Drosophila melanogaster: one gene and its partners. The protein of the gene in region 3 interacts with the protein of the main gene of each other region in a pairwise test. Each region holds a gene or a part of one and is shown on either strand. Other genes may lie near its edges. The genes, in order: BomT3, js, CG15549 and spn-F.

Evidence for each region.
Region 1: the proteins of CG15549 (region 3) and BomT3 interact in a two-hybrid assay, tested with the Drosophila melanogaster proteins (one large-scale study listed by BioGRID).
Region 2: the proteins of CG15549 (region 3) and js interact in a two-hybrid assay, tested with the Drosophila melanogaster proteins (one large-scale study listed by BioGRID).
Region 4: the proteins of CG15549 (region 3) and spn-F interact in a two-hybrid assay, tested with the Drosophila melanogaster proteins (one large-scale study listed by BioGRID).

The regions. Positions count from the first base shown.
Region 1 is NT_033777.3:22,083,617-22,089,039, reverse strand, and holds BomT3 (bomanin tailed 3), read left to right. Parts: upstream 1-2,642; 5' UTR 2,643-2,716; coding exon 2,717-2,807; intron 2,808-3,174; coding exon 3,175-3,437; 3' UTR 3,438-3,666; downstream 3,667-5,423. Other genes in the region: BomBc3 (bomanin bicipital 3), read right to left, coding at 1,415-1,611, 1,681-1,722, 1,780-1,837.
Region 2 is NT_033777.3:16,363,764-16,370,896, reverse strand, and holds the start of js (jiangshi), read left to right. Parts: upstream 1-2,590; 5' UTR 2,591-3,037; intron 3,038-5,222; 5' UTR 5,223-5,293; coding exon 5,294-5,380; intron 5,381-7,133. Other genes in the region: CG10317 (uncharacterized protein), read left to right, coding at 566-894, 953-1,080, 1,221-1,411.
Region 3 is NT_033777.3:30,933,522-30,939,323, reverse strand, and holds CG15549 (uncharacterized protein), read left to right. Parts: upstream 1-2,816; 5' UTR 2,817-2,865; coding exon 2,866-3,279; 3' UTR 3,280-3,928; downstream 3,929-5,802. Other genes in the region: CG15550 (uncharacterized protein), read left to right, coding at 2,226-2,657.
Region 4 is NT_033777.3:31,252,354-31,258,370, reverse strand, and holds spn-F (spn-F), read right to left. Parts: upstream 3,245-6,017; 5' UTR 3,129-3,244; coding exon 2,402-3,128; intron 2,334-2,401; coding exon 1,966-2,333; coding exon of another isoform or gene 1,930-1,965; 3' UTR 1,712-1,929; downstream 1-1,711. Other genes in the region: CAH6 (carbonic anhydrase 6), read right to left, coding at 1-101, 519-585; CG1750 (uncharacterized protein), read left to right, coding at 3,517-3,692, 3,748-4,072, 4,130-4,292, 4,348-4,712; mRpL32 (mitochondrial ribosomal protein L32), read right to left, coding at 4,754-5,016, 5,073-5,312, 5,368-5,452. UniProt on the Drosophila melanogaster protein: Plays a role in oocyte axis determination and microtubule organization during oogenesis. Also required for polarized organization of the bristle. Required, with jvl, for activation of the kinase IKKepsilon in the germ line.

The DNA of each region.
Region 1 (5,423 bases), 8.9 Mb from region 3:
TCCCCAGCTCAAGGTCCTTAAGTTGCTAGGCAGATAAACCACCCTGTTCTGGACTAGGACTGAGTTCCTCAGCTTCATGGGGCTTCTAAAGTTGCGTGTAAACAATTTGTGACCCAAAAAGATAGGAAACGACACATTTCTGCCAATAAAGTGTATTAAAAGTAAATCAGAGAAAGTGTATCGAAACCCTTTACGATTGGTATGGTTATGCCACCCAAATGTTCATTGAATTTTAAGCCAGTCGAGCGTTTTTCTGAATTTAGCACATCCGCAAGGGCAGTCCATTGATTTCAATGCATTGTATTTTTTTTTAATTGCAAATAAAGCTTAGGTTTTTATTCTTGGATGTCCGGGAATCAATACTATTCTCTTAAGTTATACGCTTAAATCAAAATTGTATGATTGTTAAGTAATCCTTTTACAATTTTAATTGTTTTCGCATGCTAAGCCTGAATGAAACTTTTCCCTTCTTATTCTGTATATAAAAACACAGCATCAGTTTTATTCGAAACTTCTGCACAAAATATTCTTGGGAAGTGTGTGTGTGTGTGTGTGTGTGTGTATGCACTAAGTGTTTACTGTTTGTCGAGTAGTTAGTTTCAAAGCAAATATTTGAGAGGCTTCTGTTTGCCGTTCCTGCAGTAGCATTACGTATACGCCACGTGGCACGCGCAACCTTAAGCACCCTTACATCAGGCCAGCGTTTTCATTGACAACACATCCACTGGCGTAAATTGCACGGTTGGTTACTCGCATTTGATTATCGATGCTGTGCAATACTCTGGAGACAGCGACGTCAGCTCCCAGCCCAGTTTATGTGGCAACTAGCTGAAGTTCAAACAATCGATGCCATTGGCAGCACGAATTTCTCTATTTTTCCGTCACAAAATCCGTGGGTCTTCCCTTATTTGCAGACTGTTTTGAAACCAAGGCTTTTGAAAATGTAACGCTTTTGTATCACTTATTTTTGAGAAGGATGAGAGAAGCCAATGTTCACAAACAGACAGCTCGCAGTGCACGCAATGAGGTACTGGAAATCGTTAAAAAAAATTCTTATTTTAAATGTGAAAAATTTGATTTTCAGGACTGAATATTTCGACCAAAAGCAATTATAACATTCTTCACGCTTTTTTCGCAGCATAAAATAACTCGGATGTTTCATGTTTCTCCACGTGTACTTCGTGGTAACAAAAACTGAATATAAAACGCTCATTTTTCCATTTTTTGCCTCCATCAGATGATGCCCTCTGCACTCGAAACCATCACATTCATCGAATTTGCAGAGAGACTGGGTTGAACGATTGTCAATGCTTTTAGCTAAATGATGTTGTACATAGCCAAGTGTAAGTATGAAATGGATTGATCGATATGTGCGCAATTTTAATTCAATATTCAGACTTTATTGTTTAAGCCTTTAATAGGGATCCACGTTGCAGTGCTGACATCTGCCATTGACGATGGTATTACCACCCCTCCGGTAAATGGTGCCACCTCCACCGCCACTACCGTCATTTCCACGGGAAATGACCACATTACCATCGCCAGGGGATGAGGAGAAGCTGCGGTACTGCTGGCCATCCAGGTAGACGGGTTCACCATTCGGATTGGGACCTTTTCGAGTGCATATTATTATTCATTAAGTTGTCCAATTGCCTAGCTGGCAAAACAATCGCAACTTACAAGTCAGACAGACGCCATTCACCACCACTGTGCTGGGATGAGCTGGAAATAATTTCAGTGTGTATCAATTAGCGTCAGCAGCAATCCCGTCCAGCTTACCGCCGATCAGAGTCGGAATTAAAGCCAACGGGAGCAGCACACACGTCAGGTACTTCATATTAAAGCCGATAGATAGATGACCGTATCGACTCTCACGCTACTTATATAGTCCGGCACTTGATTCGATCCGAATCAAAATCGATTTGCATAAGCCTAAGCGTTTGGAGCTTTCGATTTGTATTTGAACAATATATTTAAATTAATTTCACACTAGAACACTATCAAATCGCAATTCGATGGGGTTTTCCGCACACGGTTTTGTGGCATCAGGTCGACGTAGTTGATTTCCTTGAACTTCTTCAAAGAAACTTATGACAGTCACGCCCCGAAAAGTCGGTTTACAATTATTCCCAGACGTAAACATGAATGGCAAGCGATTCCAGAGAATCGCACACCATTAAATTTTATCCATACATCTAAGGAAAACTGGTTACAGAACCGAAAGTCGTGACTCGTGAGTGAAATGTAGAAGCTTTAGTTCTAAAGCTAACAATTTATATTTAAATAATAAGATACTTAATACAATGAAAAAGCAAAAAATATATTTGAAAACAAATACATTTCATTAAAAATAAATCTTTGCAACTTTGTAGAAATGAAAAGTGTCTGACTTATTATAGATTTTACAGATTTTGTGTATTTGTTATGTTAAAAAGGTAACGTAGAGTATCTTGAATGCAATACGACTGACCAACTGATGCGCTACAGATTGTTTTTGAAACCCATCCGCGGGCAATTCCCTGAGATTAATACTTAATACATACGTAGTGGTTTGTTTGCACAGCAATAGTTCTTTGCAGCGATAAGGTCTGTTTGGGTTTGAATTCGAATTCAAATTCAGTATCGGAATCGGAATCGATGAGTGCATCGTATATAAGCTGCTGTTGCGGTTCGTACCTGGTCCAGACCAGTTCGACGTTCTAATAGACCAGCCACAATGAGAACCTTGACGGCATTTGCGATTATCGCTTTTTTTGCACTGGCTCTAACGGAGGCGGCTGTTTACATCGGTGGCGGTTGCTACGACTGTAAGTCAATGCCTATTAATTTGGGCCATTTATTCAAAAATTGTTCAACGATTTTCGTCGCTGCCACATCAGGCATAGTTTAAAAGGAAATTTTGTGTTTTCATTAGCGAAAGTTTGAATGAACAATCAATTTGTTATTATATTATGGTATTTCTTGGCAACGAAAGTCATTAAGTGATTATTAACGATACTCTAAACATTTGTTATTGGTTAAGTTTATGAATAATATAATTCCGAACACTTAGCTTTAAGCTTTTAATTTCTATAGCGCATAGTACATTTGCTGGCTTGCGTAAAAAATGCAGTAGCTAGCGCGCAATTAAGTAACTACTACTCCTCAAGAAACTGATTTAAATATCACTATTAGGTAATCCACCCGGAGGCCAAGGACCTGGAGTCTACACAGGTGGCAACGGAGGACGAGGAGGAGGAGGTGGATACAACGCAGGCGGAGGCGGTGGAGGATACTACAACGGCGGCGGAGGTGGAGGAGGTGGCCGTCGTCCAGTATATTCGGGCAACTTTGGACCCGGCTATGGTAACGGCGGAGGAGGAGGTGGAGGAGGCTACGGAGGCGGCGGTGGAGGTGGCTACGATGATGGCGGTCTTACGCAGATTATAAGCGGCTGAGATTATAATCTCGAAGCTTTGCTAGCGCTAAGCGCGAAGAGCAAGCATCGTCTGAAACTTAGATTATATAGACTTAAATAAAAAAAATATATATTTTATCAGCGGTGACTACTTTTATATACTTACAGAATGAGCTTTTGTTAGGTTTTGTTAAAGGTTAAAAACAAGTCCCTCTGTTAAAGTAAAACTAGTGAATAAACTTATCAAATACTCAGCTAACGCTACTAATAAATGGCATGCCACCTATAGCTTCTAAAAATAATATCCTTAATTCCTGTGCATTTTATAATTGGTATTCATTGTAATTCAGTTCAGACACGTATAAATGAGTAGCAACTGTTCAAGAGTGATGATTAATATACCCTTAAAGCCATAAAACCGACTGTGCTGTTCGGTTGAAGGAGTCAAAGTCCTGCAAAGGAAATAATTCATAAGCTCTTCAAAGTTTCAGCCATCCTGCTTGTCAGTCTTAATTAAAGGACTTGCCCTGGCTAAATATGCAAGGGCATCGAATTTCCAAAAAGTTGAACCAAAAGAACCGCTCGGTGAATCCACAAGCACTTAATTGATACAATTACAAGTTCGATTTTTGTTCGTTCGGCGAGCTTTTGGTGAGCTAAGCTGAAGCAAATGAACCGGAATCAAATTAAGGGTCATTAAGTATAATTATCGGTATCATAGCATGCATTTTGTTAAACAGTTTTCAAGGACTTCCTTTCTTTAAGTTGGTTCTTTTGCATTTAAGAAAAGGTTGCGTGCACGCTTAAAAATAGTACATTTCGTGGATATATGTTTAGTTAAGACTCTTGCAGCACATGTATAATTACACATTCGAAACGAAAATAACCATTTCAAAGTAGATACGCTTAAAGATTACTTTATTTATAGCCTGTGCAATCAGTAGTTTTAGAATGAGTAGTTTTAGTAGTAGTAGTAGTTTTAGAAGTAGAATGCGCACATCGAAAATCTTCAGTGTCAGTAAAGTAGCTTCGGGTTTTCAGTGGAAGAAGTAGCACATTGGGCTTAGATTAATTTTCTAAGAAAATCATGCTTTTATTAAATATATACCCATTAAACATTGATATTAGTATATATTCATGGGAGAAATAGTAATTTGGTAATAATTTATTTGCTGAATACACATGTATAAAAATGTTCATTCTTTTTCCAATGAATACATTTCCTTTCGTTTAGGCTCAAAGGAAGTGTTGCTCAGGATTACCTCCTTGTCGATGTCAGGGCTCGCAGTGTGGGTTCTCTCCAGGATGTGGGCAATCTAAAGATGTTGCCCAAAGCATTAAGCCTCCTGAAAAATTAATATTTGCAGTGCACTTCATAAAAACTGTTTTTTTTTCCCCCCGCTAATATGAAAAGATTTCGCCTTGCCAAGCACTTTTTCAATTAGACACTTACAAAGAAGCACCACAAGTTAGGTGCAAAATTCGCTGCTGCATGCAACAGCAATTGAGATTCGCAGTGACGGGTCCTTGGGGCAGGTAATGGTTGCAGAGCCATTAGCGTTCAATTTCCATGCTGCAAGGTAAAAACTAAGCGAGCTGCAAAATTAACCTGAAACAGCCACCCACTTTCTATGCGAACACGAGCCGCTCTTAGAACGGCGAACTTTATGTTCTATATGGCAAAGTTTGTTGCAATACGATGATGCATAGCGGGCGAAAATTAAAAATGGCATTAAATATATAACAAACTTTTAGGCTGTTGGTCTGATTCTCTAGTTATTAGTTTTCTATGATCTAAGTAAATTATGATTTATTACGCGTCAGTATTAGACTAGTTACTTAATTTACTACGTAAACCTTTTAATATTTGAGAAAATCCATTTATATTTTCCTTTCTGCTTTTGGAAAAGAAACAATATATAACATTGTTCCATTTGAAGCTTGAGTTGAATTTTCATTTCAAGAGTTACTGCGTCAGGTGTTTGCTGGGTTATTGAAATACTTTGCATTACTCGTACTGCATCTG
Region 2 (7,133 bases), about 15 Mb from region 3:
GCTCACCCAATTTCAAAATATTAATAACTCACACACTGATGCACGAAAAAATGGGGAAAATATGAGTAAAAAAGCTTGCATTAAATCCGATCTAAGACAATTCCATTGGCATTCAGCGTGTGGCTCAAATTTCACTAATCACCAAACCTTCCTCAATCACTGCCCCCTCTGTGGGATCAATCATCCGATCGATCGAATTCGGGTTTCGAATGCCGCACTGAAGGTCGCCCTCTATCGATTCGTCTTCGGCAGCTCGAAGATGAATTACATTTACATTTCGTTACTGTAATTGCTAACGAATTGCAGGCAGGAACCCACATGATGTATTACAAATACACACACAACACACGATCAAAATATCTCCCTGAGGTAAAGGTCATATTCAAGTGAAATTGTCTAAATCGAATTTTGAGTCAGTTACTACTTTCCCACATACACGGGAGGTTATCAGAACTTTTCGAACAACTGAAAAATCGGAAGTCTTGAACTCAACTAGAAACTTTCGACGCAGTTGTAGTAATTACTTTTGTTTAGGGAGAGCTAGAAACTTTCAAGCACCAACACCATGAACACCAACACCATCAACCCTCAGGACGACTGTAGTAACATCTCCAACAAGGATGTAGAGATCGATCGGGACCAGGAGCTCCAGACATCATCCGAAATCCAGACACCGGAAACACCGCAGACAGGGCGGCGCAAAAGGATGGACACGCCCATTCGAGTACGTGACATGATCAACCTTTACAACTTTGCCACTCAAAAGAACCAGGAACTGGAGATGGCCAAGTCCCTTTACTTTGGCGCCATGTCAGAGGAAAACCAGAGGACGGATCTTGAGGGCGGTAGTAGCCTTTGCAACATGTCCATGTCGGACGACAAGGAAAAAGAAAAGTAATAGTTTAGGCGCGCCTTTTACACTTCCTCGACTAACCAGTCAATCTAACTACAGTGAGAGTATCCTCCGAGTGAACAAGGAGTCTGCAGTCTTCCAATCGGCCAATACTGAGCTTCCGTCTGATCCGAATACAGTAGAAAGGTCCTATCAAAGCAAAACTACAATTCGACACACTAATAAAGGTGGGTGAACTATAAAATAATTTACATAAAAAATAAGATTAGCCCATACAGAAAATGTATATATAACTTAAACTTATTTACAATTTTTTTAATTACATTTTTCTATTATTTTCGGAAAATTAATAATGTTTCCTTCAAAGGCGTGCGTATAATCATCGACATATTTTTTGATAAAAAAGATAGCGAGATAGACATAGTGGGCAGCCGCGTGGAGACGGACATCCCCGAGAGCCGCATCCTGTCCGATTTCCAGCAGCATTCGCTGGACATGAAGAACCAGGAGCTAAAGCCGGGGATCCAGGATGGATCGAGTACCCCCAAGTCCGCGTAGGCTAGTCCCAGGTATCCAGGAGATAACTAACTAAATTCCAGGTTACAAGGTCTACAAAATGTTTATATGTATATGTGTTATTTTCTTTATTTTTGAAAACAGTACAAAACAAACCAAAAAAAAAGGAAGAAAACCATCGATTGACTCCCGACACTCTCGACTTTAGCTTCCTCTCAGTTCCATCACGAAAATGAAAATGGCTAAAGTGGTAAAGGTGAAGGGGAAAGGAGGGGGAATGGATGGGTGAAACCCAACGCCCATCGAAAATGAAATCCAGCAACTGAATGGGGCAACACACGACTGCGATGAAAACCTCAGTGCCCCAAACCGCCTTGTCTGTTTTTCTGTCTTTTCCGCGACAAAAGGGCTTTGAGGAGTAAATAAACGATTTGAATCGAAAAACGAAGATGAAAATGGAAAATGGAAATCTTCGCTTACAAAACCCAGCCGCCAGAAATCTGACAACGATGCCGCCAAAAAAGCCAGCCGAATCGAGCAAATCTGAGATGGGGAAAATGATTTCACAATTTGGCGCCCAATCTGGTGCAGATCTCTTTTAGCCGTGCTCGATTGCTCTATTTAGCCCACTTCTTTTGTTGCCCCCTTACCCATCTGCCAAAGTGGCTTTAACGTAAACGTTCCAATAAATTAGACAAATAAACACCGGTGGGTGAAGGGTTGCCCTAAACGGTGGCATTGCAAATGCTAATAACGTGCAATGAAAATGAAAACGTAGCAGTTAACGGTAAATTGAAACTGAGAATCTAGCTGAAAAGCTGAAAAACTGAAAATGAAGCTGCAATGCAAACGCTTCGCTGGCTGAGGGGCTCAAAAAACCCGATTGAACTTCGTTAACTGGCCGAGAAGTTTTGGCACAGTGGCATAAAATGAACCAACTTATACAGCCTCATAAATAATGTGCTTTAATATGGTTTAATACCTAAAAGCGGCTGCTAAATTCCAAACTTACATCATTTGGCAAGATTATTTGCCCGCATCTGAAAGTATTTGCGTAGATTTCTTTACAAATGAACAGAATTTCCTCTCACGCATGTGGGCGTCCGGATCGCCCACTGTGCGCCGATGACGAAGCTCCGCTTGGCGCTTCTCCAGCAGAGACCTGGTCTGTAGCGGGCGGCCTAATGGGAATCTTAAACCGAGCTGGGTGCACTCGGAGTCTTCAGTTTAAGACGCGACTTCGAACGAAGCGGTTGTGTTTTATCGGGCGAATTGCGAACCGTCAGATACAAGATACAAACTTGGATAAGTTTTATAGACGCGCTCCATTCGAAAAGGACTGTGAAATGATGTGCTAAAGTGTTGATGGCATGTCTATATAGTATCAAAGCAAATAATTTATGCGAACCAATTCGGTTGCTGGCGTTGCGCGATTGCTCTTGACTTTGTTTTCAAGCCAATGCAATTGCATTAGCTATCTGAGCTTGATGCACTCCGAGTGCTGCTGACATTTGATCTTTGCAAAGATCACATCGCACTGAATCACCAACTCGCATCGGATGTGTGAAAAGGTCCGCGACCATATGGAATATATTTTAGCACACCACCTACGGCGACAATTAGTTTGTACAATTTAAGATACTCCGTCAACTGAAGACGCGGGCGAAGGTGAGCCCACCGCCGATCGGTTGGAGTCGACATCGGATTCGACATCGGCATCTCGAGCCCAACATCTAAGATCTTGTGCTTGCATCTTAATAACTTCCTCTTCTCCATCCAGTCGGGGGGTCCAATCGAAAACAATTAGAAAAATGCCAACTATGGCTGGGCGAAATATCTTCAGTCTGGCCCTGCCGTAATCGTAATCAACCTGTAATGCCAACTAATTGGCATAATTGTTGCTGCATCTCGGCTATTATTTGCCGTTTGAGCATCTTCGAGTTAGATTCGCAATGCTCTTTCAATGGAAATGGCTGGCAAAAATGTCAAATAGGCTTCGCCTTACTGGCCACAAGGCAACTTAGAAAAAATTGAAGAAAAAACCGCGAAAAAAGCAACCAAGAAATAAAACTGCAACCAGCATCACGAGTTCAACCCGAGGAGGATAAAGCGGTAAATATTTTTCGTTGTCAAAAAGGTCAAGACAGGGAAAAACCGCCAAACTAGATGCCAGTTCAGTATTGTTCGCTTTTGGTTTTTAGCCATTTTCCTGCTGCTACTGCTGCTGCCACACGCACTTGGCTCGAATGACTGCTGGCCACAACTTGCCACAAATGTTGCGGTTAGCATTGAGCCAGATGATCTCGTTAGCTGAAAAGTATGAGATTTTATTGGGCAATTGAACTTTGCAGCTCGGCGGCGATATGATGTTCCTCAGACCCGCTAACCTAATAAATTATACGACGACTGTTATGGGCAAATTATGGCTAGGCATTTTATGCCTCTAAAAAAAAAAAAACATTTCAATTACCCGTAAACTTAATTGCAAAAGTACACTTAAATGTTAGTTTAAATGGCGGAGCGAATCTATTAATGTTAATACCTTATTTATTGATGCATTTAAATCGCGAAATATATTGTCCATTATTATTTTATTACGAAAGCGCTATATCTTTTTCGTTAACTTACAAACTATATAATTCCTTTGAAAAAAAAGTAATCATGGAGAAGTCATTTATGCCAATTTTCCTCTAATCAGCTAAGTAGGTTTTTATTTAAAACCACATTTTTTTGTAACGTTAACAATGTAGGTGCATGAAAAGTAAAACAAAAAGAAGTCATAAATATGTGTAAGCCTGACATAAAAAGTAAAGTTTATTGCCTAATGTTTTGATCGTTATACCGCATTAGCGCAACATAAAAATCCAATTCTTTTTATAACCAATTCCTTCCTCAGAGTCTTTTAAGTTGATTAAATTCAAGTTCATGCTTCTACATAATCTCTTCGACATTATCAGTATTTCTTATGTTTTACTTGAGTCAAAAACGAGTGATGACGCGGCTTATAAATATAAACAACATTAAATCAAAGACTTGGGAATCTTTGAATTTGTCTACATAGCAAGACGAGCCTCGAAGTGAGACTCAAATTAGTTCTAGGCATAAAACTCTTTAACCATACTTGGAACAACGTTATGAAACTACCGGAGACGTTCTTGACCCAAGCGGAAATTCATAAAGCTAAGAGCCTTTACCGGACAAGTCAATTTCGACCAATTTGGTTACTATAAACGGTCATAAAGTGCAATTTCCATTTTGGAGCTTTGTTTGCGACTGCGATTGACAGTTTTATCGGTGTGACTACATATTTTTCTTTTTTTTTTGGCGAGGAGCGGAGTGGCAAGTGGCAAGGTCGCACAATTGAATTGTAGGTGGAGGTCGCGACAGAAACGGGGGAAGAGCCAGCGACAGCGTTGCAAATTCTGTCAGTCAATAAAGCGGCACCAACTGCAGAAGTTAATGTTTTTTAAATTACACTTACAATTCATTACGAAAGCGTTGAATCGAACAAACATCTTGGAGGCGAAGAAAATTTTCAACTGGTCTCTTCGCAGTGACAAAAAATAAAAAAACCAACCAGCAGACACATTGTTATCACCCATAGGTGATTACCTATGAGGAGATATTTTTGGGAAAGTTATTACTAAAGTAAACAGAGCCCGGTTACGCAAAAGATTGGCAACAAAAGACACATTACTATTTCATATGGCTATGGGTGGATGGCGGAAAGGAATGGGTATTAAGATGCGAGCCGCTATTGTGTAAGGCAATTAGCGCCAACTTATATGCCCTGCGTGCACTTTCCCATCAATTGTGATCAGCGACCATTCAATAACATATTAATAACTTTCAGTTTTTTAGCTCAACATCGTGAGTTCCCTCCCCTCCCAACAATCCCCAGTGCCACAGAGAACAATCGTCGAAATGTTGGCACAAACGCAAATTATCCCAACGCCTTGGCGACTTTTGACCCTGGCTTTATTCTGCTCAGCTTTATTTTTGGCCAGTGAGGTAAGTCCGACTTATACCCTTAGCCGGGCTCAATCGGGGAATTCGAAAGATATGCCAGCGGAGATTCCGATGGCGAATGCGATGTGCACGTGAGAGAGCATTGAAATGCAAATTGCGGAATTGTATAAATATTTAAACGCCGTATTTGTTCAGCGTGGAAGGTGCTTATTATCTTTCTTCCGAAGATTGCAATAATTAATAGCTAAAATATCGTAAACATATCGTACAATCAATGCTAATGAAGCTTCCCCTTAGTGATCATTCTGAAGTGTATTTAGCGAAATTTAATATACAGTAAATTCTCACCTGCCCCTCAACAATAAAACTATCCACAGAAATGTTAATCCGTTAAGACTGTGACTATCATTATCATTCAAAGCGTGACCCTTCAATTGAGTCTCAGAAGTGTTAGCCAAAAGTGGTTGGGAAATTCTTTCCATTAGTATTGCCTGCCCATTAAAACCCTTTACCAATTTCAAAATATTGAATATCAACCGAACTTGGTTGGTAAATCAAATTGGTTCTTAAATCAAATTCTAATTACGTTTTTTTAATAGATACCACATTTTTGTATACAATGTATATGTATGTATCTTAATAAATTGCAAGTTAAAAGGCAAGTCAAGAAAACTTGCTTTCTGTTTTCCAGTTTTAATTAAAATATTTTGACCGATTCGTTGATGAGCTTACATTAATCTATTTCAACAAGAACTCCTATTCATAAATGAAATAGAAAATGTACCCCAACAATCATTTGAAATTTATCTTAAAGATTAAAATTAAAATTAATCATAAAGAAAGGAATTATGACTATAATCTAAAATCAAGGTATGCAAATTTATGTATATTAACTTGTTAATCTGATTACAATGTGTAAATCTTATAGAATCGATTGATGACAAATTAATTACACGACTTGAAAAGTATCTTTACATACGTATATGCTTAAGTGCGAAGCAATGGGGTGCCGCTGCCATGGAATACATTGTACAAATTACCATAAAATACTGTCAATTAATTTGTTTAATTTTTTATCTGTGACACTGTCATTCTGGGTAGTAATAATATTATTCTTAAGAAGTTAACGCTTACCAGATTTTAATTTGAGGGCTTTCATTCTGCAACACAAGATCCCCAGTGGAGGCACCACCGACAAATGTTCGTTGTGTTTGCCACCGAACCTTCCGAACTTCCCAAGTCACTTCTTTGAGCAACGGCGGAAAATGTTGTAATTTTGCGCTCTTTACGCTTTGTTTCATTTTTAATTTATTCTATGTGTGTACGAGTGCATCCAATCCACAATTCACACACAGGCCGGCAAAGATACACATGATTCGGAGAAGCAAAGGTCTCGAGACAAATACTAGTGTATCAAAGACAAAAGACTCCGCTGACCAAGTGACCTTTTTTCCGACTCGTCTGACACTTTTGCAGAAATGGAACACACACTGCCAGCCAAACAACAAAAACCAAAAACTGAGGGAGAATAGTGTGTTGATTGTTTTCGCCATTTGCATACAAGAAATTAAAACGAAACCCAAGTCGAGGATGAAGTTGTGGCTGTTATGTAACGGACGAGTGGGCAACTGGGCGCAGAATGTGTGTTTTAGTGCGGCCCGTAAATATGCCCGAAATGAAATTGAAGAGCGTTTCAAATTATGGCAAATTGCCCGAAATGAGAAACACAAACAGCTCCGTCTCGTGAAATGGAAATCTAGACGGGGCCTTGGATTGTGTCTTGTGCCTGCCTAGG
Region 3 (5,802 bases):
GTCTTTTTTTGCATAAATAAAATAAAATGCAATATTTTCCGCTGCAACTGCAGGCGGCCCAAATCCCTCGCACAAAAGTCAGCAATCAAAACAGATTAAAATATGATTTGACAGCTACGAAAACAAATATAAATGCAGACTGCCATGCAGTCATATGGATATGGATATTCATGTCGCGTTCGCATTCACTTACAAGTTTCAGCCGATTTCAGTTGGCATTTCGATATTGTTTCCATATTTAACTAGAGCCCCCGTCAGGAGGCTCTGACTCCGGCTCCGGATCCGGATCTGGATATATCTTCCTGCGAAGAGGTAAGCCCGCGATTGCGCGATTGCCGCGTGCTGGCATTTTTATCAAAGCGCCGCCGCTGCCTGATGCCTATTAAAAATTTAAATCAATTTTCAATATGGATTGCGCATATCCTGCGATATCTTTGGCTGACACTTTTGTTTTATTATTACAATACCCTCGATGCCAGTTAAGTTCCTATCGTGCTGCTCAGCCGAACTGTCACTGTTTGCAGCTCGTATCTTCGCAACGGATGGCGATAGTCGCGGATTTGGTCGCTTTATGTTTTATGCGCCCAACTCTGTCCGGCTCCAACCCACCTGGTGGCCAAAAGCCAGGTGATTGCAATTATCAGTTAATAAGGACGACTAACTGACCCAAAGCAGATTTGCTGCAATTAGCCAGGCCGCAGGATTCTCGTTCGCAGGAGTGCGTAAGTCGCCAAAGCCCGAAATGCCGGGCAATAATTAAATTATCATTAACGATGTCGGTTTAGCAGGGTCACATGAAACCCAGTTAAGCGGGCACTTTGAGGGGTGTTCTCGAACCCCACCCCCTCACATAGTAACATAGTAGAGGGGAAACTATCCTGTTTTGGGGATCTTTATCAGGGTGACCCAATAATTATGACTTCTCTTCCAGTTGAGATATATCTACACTCGGTTATCTACTTTGAAATAGGTTAGCTTTTTCACTCAGATTTGTACATATTTGATATGAGACAGCTTAGATAATTTAAAATCAAATAATAATCATACAAATTCAAATAGCTTATATATCTAATGACGATAATAGTATTCGCATAATATGGCTTTGAATATGTAACATCCACTCATATTTCAAAAATCCTACGCCGAACCGCAAATCACAGATTTGCGCAGTTTCGACTAACAAATTGGAAAATGTACGAAAAGCAAACCGAAATGCCGCTAAATGGGTTCCGAATGTAATTGTATTTGCATTTGCATTTGGAGCCGAGAGAAGAGCACAACTGTACTTGGGGGCTGTGTGTGCTGTGCAAATCCACGCAAAATTCCCCAAATTCCGAATGGGTTGGGTTCAAATCGAATCGAGAGGGTTGAAGTGTGCTTAAATTCTCATTAGACGCATTAGTGGCGTTGACCAGCTGCCACGCCCACCGCCCGCCGCCGCCTCTTTGCACCTGACCATGCCCGAAATTCAATAATAATAATTGATTGCTTATTACAAACGCACTGCATATGTGTCTCAAATTTATGTGGATATTCTGCTGGTGGTGGGGAAGGGGGGAACGGGTGGAATTTGCTAATATTTACGCATTAGTTTATTTGCCGATGGGAGGTGGTGAACCCCCTGCCAAATCCACCCTGTAAATGCCAAATGACCAATGCACCTGTACGGCCCAAAATCATCATTAAAGTTTAATGTTTTCATTTCGGTTTGTGCACGCAGCAATTTTAATTATTAACTTTATAATTATGCAAAATCACGAATTACATTAGAATCACTTTGTTATGCCGATTTGGTTTACGGTCTCTTTGAGCGGTGAATCGAGTGAATTGCGAGCTGATTTGGCACTTCTAATCAAGACTCGGCTGCCATTCCCCATTCCCATTTGGCCACAATAATTAAGCCCTGTGGAATAATAACCGAAAGCAATAATAACAGAAGTTTAAACTTAACCAACTTTACATACGAATCTCACACTTTTAATATCTAGGGCTAAGTAAGTACGATTGTTTAAAATGAAAGTAATATAATGCAGTATAATATTTATTTTATATCAAAAGTCTTGTTTTATTTTCGAATCATTTGGAACATTTTTTAAAGACTCCCATTGGAATAGTTCTCCTCCCAATGGAATAGTTCTGGGAAAGGCCCGTCGTCTTTGCGATAAGTGGAGCCTATAAAGTCAGCTCCACGATTTCCAAAGCTTCAGTTGAAGAAATTCCGCGCAATGACTTACAAGATCGCCGTAAAGTGGTTCCCTATTTCGCTGGTGCAGGAAGTACTGGCAGCTCAACAGCCAGCGATATCCGAATCGTGGAGCTTTTCACTGGAATCCATACCCACCAAAGTGCTGATCATCTCCAGCGTAGTCCTGATCACTTGTATTTGGATAGGCTGCGCCTACTTCATGGCCAATCGCCATCAGAAGGCGGTCCAGTATCTTCAGAGCCAACTTGACGAACTGTGGCTGCTGCAGGCTAAGCCCTCCGTTTGGCCACATGCTCCCTTCATCCCAAATGCCCGGGAGCAGAATCCGCCGGAGTATATTCCGCCTATGGATCCCCAGGAGCAGGAACAGGAGGCCAACGAGGCGCGGGAGAGGGCAGAAAAAGCCAGGGCATTTTTGGAGACCAGAAACAAACATAAAGATAAAGAGTGAGATAAAACCGATTTTAAGTGGAATTATAAATATTAACTTTACAACCTTGCATATATATTAAAAATGAAATTATACAATACTTAGATAGTTTCCAACTATTTGCTTTAGTTTTATTAAAATACATGTTGCAGTCAGCACTGACTTAGCCTTAAATTTATTTGAGAATCCTCAAAATTCATGCTATTCGACGTGTGGCAAAAAGTGCAGTATGTTGGCCAATCTGTTGACCCTAAGCTGCCTTCTGGCCCAAATTATCCCTCGGATTTGGGGGCAGTATGCGGCGGTGAACTGCTCAGATCCCAGGATCGAACTGACATCCTGTGGCCGCTTCAGTACGAACGGGTGCTGTGCCAAGGGATGTGTGAGGAATGTGCGCGGAAGGTGCGTCCAGGAGGAGTGCACCGCATCCTGGAGCGGCTGGCTTCAAAGGCCAGTGACCATGAGCTGCTACTTCCACTGGTTCCTGCTGATCTTCGCCGGGCTCATCACGGCCCTCATGCTGGGCCTGGTGGCCTGCAACGCGGCCTGCGAAATAAGGCGCTACCTTCGCCAGCGGAGAATCGAGCGATTCAGGCGCTTCAGGGATCTGAGCGGAGTCTCCATTGGATCCACTCAGTGCTAGAGCACGTGTGAGCATGAGGTCCTTGGACTAAGGGGCTGGGAATCAGGAAGGAAGTGCCGAGGGATTTACCATAATCTGCAATACATTAGCGGCAGCTTTGCTCTGGATTCCAATTCAATTCTTTGGGTATCTCCGGCCAAAGCCATGTAAATTACGATTCGCCACCTCGGAAATCCTATTAGTAGTTAAAACCTGATTAGGAAATACTTGCGGCCGAGCCTCGGGCTCACATTTGCTGAAAGCAAATAATAATAAATGGCTCTCACATGCGAGATGCTTTGTGGATACATGCCCTCCAGGGTGACACCTCCTCCGGAGCAAGTCGAAGGTGGCGTGGAATTCAGATGGCTGTGGAGTCGAGTCAAAGGTGCAATAACCCAACCGAGCGGGGCACATAAAACTAAATGGCTGCGGGTTGCGTTGCCAGTCCTCGAAGTCCTTCCCAGACCCCGGACCCCGGTCCCGGATCACCAGCTCGCTCCTCTGCGGATTCAGTAGCTATTGCGGTGGAGATAACAACCATAAGGGTACACCCGAGGGCACTCAGAGAGGAGCGTTGCAAATAGGATTGTGTATATTTTGTCACAGCTTCTTTCTGTTTTAAGTGAATGAGAGACTATTAAAATCGGGAAACTAAATATTTTATTTCAACCTATAGTCTTTAGTCTCTAGTCTATTTCACAGTATTCGCTTTAATATTTAAAGCCCCTCTGCTTCCTAATAGTTCTTCGTTTTTTTTTTTTTTTTTGTTCATTTCCCCTGCTGTTCAGCTTATGTGTGCGAATATAAATGTATATATTTTTAGTATAACTGAAAGTCAGTCAGGCATGCAGCCAAAGCTAAACGCGCTGCCAACCGCGCAGAAAATGAAATGGAAAATATTGGCGGGCGGGGGAGCTGGAAAAGCGGAAAATAAAAAGGAAATAAACGAGCCAAAAAGGAAAAGCTTTGCGAAAAGGTTGCCCATGTGTGTGGAGTGGTGGGTGGTGGGGGGTCGGGCTGGGGGTCCCGGGTAGCAGATTTAGAGGTTGCTTATGTGTGATTTAGTACAGCATGCGCGAATATGGCGGCGATAATTCTTTAAAAATTGGAAATTGTTTTCCAATCGATTTCGCATTTAGCCAAAAAGCACTCAACACAAAGACACAAAGGGCCGCCAACGAGTGTCTTTTATAAACTTGTGTAGTTGTTCGGTTTCGGATTGGCTGGGCCGCACAAGCGGATTGAACCCATACGAGTGTGTATTTATATTTGATAAAAATGTATGAAAAATACGATATTTCGTTATTTTTCACCTGGCTGCAGCTTTGAAAAGGATTTGGCAGCTGAAATCATGGATTTGGATTTGGCTTTGCCATTGGCTTTCCGTGTAGTTTGTTTATTTTCCTGGCTTGTCAAGTGAAAAGCGTTTGAATGAATTTGAGAGAGGGAGAAAAGGAACATTTTGTCTGCTCAAAAATGTAGGGCAATTAAGTATGAACAATAAGATTACAATATCCAAGGAAATGAGGGGTATTTACTTAGATATTTCATTGAAATTCATTTGACACTAACCATCGCTGAATCTCCATTAATTAATATAGGTAATTTCTGCCTGTGCACAGATCAGAATCAAGGCTGGCCAACTGTTTTAACCACATCAACCGCCCATCCTCATTCAGCCAAGTTTATATAAAAGCGATTCTCATTTCTTGATGCCCGTAAGCAACCAAAACATTTGCTCGCATTGTGTGAGTCCTGTACAAAGGATACAATGGGCACAAAAGGTTAGATACACACACATAGCAGGGGGCGTGTTTCGGTTTTTTTGGGGTGGACCCAAGGACCAAGGAGCAAAATGCGGGGAGTGGGCGATTCGTGACATATTTTATTTGCACAATGACAATACGAGTTACTCGACAGGGGCAAACGTTGGCAGTGGCCGGGGCGGGGAGGGGGAAGGACATCCGCAACCCGCCATTACACAAACACACCCTCTTCCGTTTCCTCTGCCCTGCCACCCACACCAGCCCACAATTACAGTTGGCGTTGGAAGGGTGGCGGAAAGTGGGTGGGGTGAACAGAAGCAGTGGCGCACAAAGTAGTAAAATAAGTGCAAAGGATAATGCGAATTGAAATGACAAAACCCGGAATAATCATTGGCTCCACACTCTCGGAGATAACGAATGGGTGGGGTTCTCGAAGTGGTGGAGGAAGAGGCAGTCTCCGAATGGGGAACGCTGATAAGGGGCAAACCTTTTAGCGTTTTGCCGACGGCTTTCGCGCTCAGCTGCTTAAACATTTCATCAGCACCTAGACTGCTTCATAAAAAGTTAGTACGCAGATAAAACAAAAGTAAAGATGGCAAGTGTATTAAATGGAATGGTCTACGGAGTATTAGAAATCAGATGTGGCGTTTATTACCAAGTATTTGTAGGCGGTATAGGTGGTATTGCTTGGAATATTGACTTTTCGTGCGTTCATATAATTTTGATATTGAATAATTTTGAATGCAACAATGAATCAACAGCTCCTTGGCCTTGA
Region 4 (6,017 bases), 320 kb from region 3:
GACGTTTAACGAAATGGGTGACTGTCTTTCGCCCGTAGAGCAAATTCCTCCCCAATTCTGTCCGTTCGTCTCATAGTCCCAGTGCGATTCGTCTTTATGATCTACAAGTTTCAAATTGAAGAAAATGTTAGGTCTAAGACGTTTTCACTTTCTTTCAGCCATCTAGCAGCAGTATCTGGTAATCCTATTAGCCAAGACCGTGAATAAATTCACTTCTGTTTTCATTCGGCGGAATTAGCCGACTCTCATTTCTCTCGTTTCTGTAACCCAAAATAGGGTATGGCAGAGTGATTAATCACAGTAGCTTATACAATTAATGGTAATGGGTGTGCGCCAAGACCCTTTCAAACGTTTAATCCCAATTTTTAATAATTTAGAGGGAAGTTAGTATGTGTTTTAACCGCTTTGAGGCTATTTTGAGGCACATTTATCACTTCCTGCCATTGAAGGCTAGTTAATGCACTTTTATCACTCCATTCGATTTACATATCTATCTTAAGATCTGGGATCGAAATTACCATTTGATGTATGCTGATAGGCGAGCGGTAGTAGTAACAAAAGCTTGTGAAAGGCATTCGGCTGCATTGTTGCAGATCGCAGATGTGATTGTTCTAATATTACTATATATAATATTGGATTCCCGCGGACGCGTGTGTCTTTGTATTGAAATTCGCGGCGTTTTCGATTTTACATAATTCATACGGCGCGAATGTGCGGGAGATATGTTGGCCTCTATATGATGCTGTTGCCACTGCGAACTGCGAGCAACTGAAACGGGCCATAAACACCCCGATATCTTTTATAGTTTGGAGGGGCACGGTGCCCACGTAGACTTGGCGTCTGGGGGGAAGTCGGAATGGAATCGGATCGGATCTGAATTCGACACCTAAGTGGCGCGTGATTAGCCCCAAACGGTAGCAACAAGTGGCAGACTAATTGCAGCGCTGGGTTTTCGAAATGATAAATGGATGGATCGCAATATATAGACCATGAGAGCTAGGAAAACCCAGTATTAGTTGGAAATGCGGAAAAGATCTAACAAAAGTTGCTTGAACTCTTACAAATTCTATGCACATTGGTTGGTGAATGGGTGGGGTTACCAGTTATACGACTTGTAGATAAGCACCAGATTTGATAATTTGTTTCATTATCTGAGCATTTCATAGTAACGTAATAAAGTATCCACGGGAGCTGCCACGTGCCTGTGTCTTAAAAATATTTATTTATCAAACTTATTAGCATAGGCAAATTAAAATGTTTCCTTAAGCTAAATTCCTGCTGCGACCCACTCCAAATGCATTAAAAGAAAGTTAGCTCTGAGCATTTGCATTTGTATTGCTATCAATGGCAAATCTTATGGTCAATATTTTGGCAAATATTCGCATTGAATGACTGGATCAGCCCGATTAGGCACACGTTGCCAGTCGGGTTTCGACTACGTCATAGCCAAAAAAACAGGGAAATCCTCTGACCAGTTACAGCATAATGGCCTCAAGCCAAACTTCTTTGTCGAATGTTCCACTCTTCCCCCAAAGTGTGTGACTCACAGAAAAGCTGCCAATTAGATCGGATAATGACCACAAGCGATGGTAACATCGATCGTCATCTTTGATATTACAATATTTGTCAGCGCTAATAATATAATATTTATGTTGTCCACGGTCCACGATTTCACTTTCCAACCAACCGAAGAGAGCGCTCAACATGTTTTCAGGCTTTTCATTTAAACTGTATTTCGTATTCGGTCACTTACATCTATATATTCATGCACTCTCCGCAATTATAATACAATATATATATATTTTTTCTTAAAGTTCAATGTTGTATAGTTTTGATACATGATCGCCCTAACGTCTTATCAATAGAAACGTAACAAGCGGCTCCTGCGCAGTCAAACTGCTCCTTAATCCTTGGATTTCTCCGGTCAGGTCAGAGTTCGGTGGCGAAATAAATGCGCCTACTGGGTCAGAAGTCACCCACAGCATGGGAAACGAACTCAAACTGGCGCTCAATGCTGTTCTCCGACTCCAGTTCCAGTGCATCGTCGATGAAGTGCATCTCGACGTGCTCGCGGAACGCATTGAAGGACACTTGGCTGGAGTACTGCTTGCCGCACATAGGGCAGGTCTTCTCCATTGCGTCGGCTGCATCTGCTTTGATTTTCTCTTGTATTATGTTAATTCTCTGGCTGGGCGGCGTGCCATTGTGTCCATTGTGTTGGCTCTCATAGTTCTTCAGCTCGCTGGTCAGGCTGTCGTCCGTTTCCAGACTTTTGTCGGCCATCTCCGGTTTTTTGATGGTTTTCTGGGCACATTCCGGACAGGGCTTGAGTGCTGCTTGCACATAAAACAGGCGTTAAAAGTTATTTTTTTTATAGCATGAATTCCATTTTGTTGCTTACCTATGCGATTTTCTAGCAGAGTCATTACCGATCTGAGCTCCTGCTGCTGCTTCATGGCCTCTCGCCTCAGCTCCTGCAGTCCATCCAAACATCTTTTGGCATCCACATTGGCATCTGGTTCACTAGTGGTTTCCTCCACCTTTTGCAGGTTGTAGGGGTAACCTAGTTCCTCACTGCTGGCACCGAAGTCATCCAGGGCTATTTCCTCCAGACTGAGATCCTTAATGCCGTCGGAGAGCATCTTTTGGCGAAGGTGAGGATTGGGGGAGTGCTGCGTAAAGGTCTTGGAGCGCACCAGGTTCTGGTTTTGCTGGGCTCGCGAGTCTGTTGAGCTGGGCAGTGCGTTCAGCTGCTGATCCTTGGAGATCTGCGATAGGCGGGACCAGAGCCGTCTGTTCTCGTTGGATACCATGCCAATGTGCTCCTCCAGCTGCTCCTTTTGGCGCTGCAGCTCAGAGACCTGTGCTTTCAGAGAGAGGACGTCCCCAGTGACCCCGATTTCGTTTGCCCTTGGAGCACCTTCCGACCTGCTGGAGGCCTCCCTTAGCTGCTGGTTCTCCTCCTCCATGCTGGCCACGCGGCGCTGCAGCTGGATGCACCGCTCCTTGATCGTCTGCAGCGCCACTTGCAGTGCGTAGTTCATTTTTTCACTGGAGGGGGAGTTTGTGGATCCGGAAGCGGACATGGAACTGGCCATAGGCGTGATTTTGGCAGCAGATGCCTCCATTCTGCAGTATTGGAGTTCCTTGGCACTTGATCCCAAAAATATACGTTTTCCTGTAGATGTTTGATTTTCCAAATTTTTATTGCGTTCTCATTAGTATGACCGTGCGATGAACTTAAAAAAATAATATACACTATACCGATAGTCTATAGTCACTGAAGACAGATAAATAAAAGTAAAGTAATGTATTGAGCTAAGTTTAATTACTTAAACAAAAATAACGACTCTTGATCTTATAAAGTTAGACCACCATTTACATGGTTGAAGACGATAGGTTCAACAGGTTTCACTCTATCTCAGCATTCCTATTACGTTATTTGGTAGAGTGACCAGCTGGTATCGCGAACAGCTGTTTTTGTTTACGCTGCATTATTATCCAACAAATTTTCCGATGTTTTGCGGCAAGAGTTTAGTCAATAATTTTTACAAATATAAGAGAAAAGTGTGGCAGAATGTAATCCCAATTGCACAGCGCTGCAAGGGAACTTACCACCCTCCAAAAATTCTCTTTTTCGGTACCGACAATTTTTCCTTGCCCAGCTTACAGGCGCTACACAAAAACTGCGGGTAAAATGTTTTAAACAATAATGTTAAATTGGATTAATAAGAATATTTTTCTTAGTGATCGTTTGGGAGTTGTTACCTCCTTCAAAAGTCCCGCCAACTGTGTGAGGACCTACGCGGAAAAGGAGAAGCTTCCCCTGCAAAAGTGGCCCATAGATCCTTCTGTGTGTCCGCAATTTGATCTGGGTGTGGTGGTCTCCTTTGGCCACCTGATTCCTGGTAGTATCATCAATGGATTTCCTTATGGGATGATCAATGTTCACGCTAGTTTGTTACCCAAATGGCGGGGAGCTGCTCCCATCATATACGCCATCATGAAGGGAGATGCCAGCACTGGAGTTTCCATCATGAAAATCGAACCTCACCGGTTCGATATCGGTGATGTAAGTTCATTCTTATCTTACCATTGTATGCAGTAGTATTGACGACTTATGCTTTAGATTTTAGCTCAGCGAGAAGTGGCTATTAATCCCGATGTCTTCATGCCGGATCTGCATGCATCTTTGGCGTCGCTAGGAGCCGAGTTACTTGTGGATACTATTAACAACCTATCAGTAAGACTTAAGGAAGCCAAACCCCAAGATAGTTCAAGGGTCAGCTATGGTAAAGCATATCTAAGCACTTCGAGAACCTATATAAACTATATTTTTGCCTTCAGCTCCCAAGATTACCAGTAAAATCACAGAAATTATCTGGTCCGAGCTGAGTGCCATTGAAATATACACTCGTCATCGAGCTTTGTATGGCTACAAAAACCTTACAACCAACTTTTTGGGCAAGCAAGTGCAGTTGCTGGAGTTGCGATTACCGGAGAAGAGAGTTCCCGTCCAAGAACCTGGTGCCATCAGCTACCTAAGGAAGTCGAGATCCCTCATAATCGGATGTGCTCAGCAGAGTCAGTTGGAAGTGCTTCAGTTACGCGTGGAAGGTAGAAAACCTATGAGTGCCCAGGACTTTAACAACGGATTCCTGAAGCAAGCAAGGTCCTTATCCTTCACAGAGAATAAAATAGCATCGATTTGATAACGAACGTGTGGATTTAATGCACAATGGATGCTTAGTATCTAGGCCAAGTCGGAGGGCTTGACTTCCTTGGTTTCGGACAGCTGCTGCGTGGATTTTTGGAGCAGATTCTTGGTGAACCACATGGGACGAGGCTTCTTCATCTCCACGATGCGCTTGTTTTTCAGATCATCTGTGGACTGTTCGGCCTTCTCGCCTTCATAAAGAACGATTACTTCCTTGTCCACGGGATCTAGACCGAGTGTCTCCTGGATTTTCGACTGCATGAGCTCAGTCTCCTTCAGGACCTTTTGGTAGCAGAAGGCTGGAAGAGCAACATTAAAGGTGGCTACCTCTTTGTATACTTTTAAGGCTACTTACGACAAAGAACTCCCATCTCGTGGTCATGGCCACATTGCAGACAGGAGCGGAGGTTTCTCTTCTCCCTCAAAGGCTTCCAGTTGTATTCCGGATATCCGAACTTCCGCTTCAGGCGTTTCTCCACGGATCTTCTGTGCTTCGGAACAGCCCACAGCAATCCGTCGCCAATAAGCTGCTTCAAACTGAATTCCTGGGAGGATTTAGGGCTGTGATCATGCTGAAAACCGGCCAACGCTAAAGCTGTGTAAAAAGTGGGTAAGTCAGGGTAACTTTATCTTGGGCTGGTGCTTCTCACCAGGAGGGTGTCCTCCATGTGGCAGGAACAAGCTCTCTAAGTTCCTAATAAAGTTTGTAATTGATAAAAACAAATTTCTAGACATCTTGTTGCTGCTCTTCTGAAATTTACGTAAACGTGATTAGAGATGCGCAAGAGGAAACAGCTGTGCTATCGATATGTTTATAGAAAAACGTAAGTAAGGCACAAAATAGATGTAAAAATGTTAATTCAAAAAAGAGCAATAAAAATGGTGTAACTACTTTTAAAATAATGTCAGCATCCGTAAATAACTACCGTTTTAAGGTTGCAGACTTTGTCGCCTTACGTTGCACACTTCTAGTGCTACGTTTTAGCCGGCTGCCTTGCGTCACCGCGCACGTTGCAACCCTAAACAGCTGTTCGCAGCAGCTGTTCTGCACTGTTACGTCAAAATAAAGTAGTGAAAAGGTGCAAATTGCGTGCGAGTTAAATAAAAACTATTTGCCAGGCGGAAAAACGCGTTTTCATCGGGATCTTTGAGCGTCCCAGTTGTTGCGGAACATGAGGACACTGGCGGGACTAATTGGTAGTGGCGGTAGTGGCCATAGGACCTCTGTGAGCAACGCTTGAGTCCAGATATATCCCTCCAATAGTGTGACCCATAGGTAGCCTGGGGTCATCCAAACAGA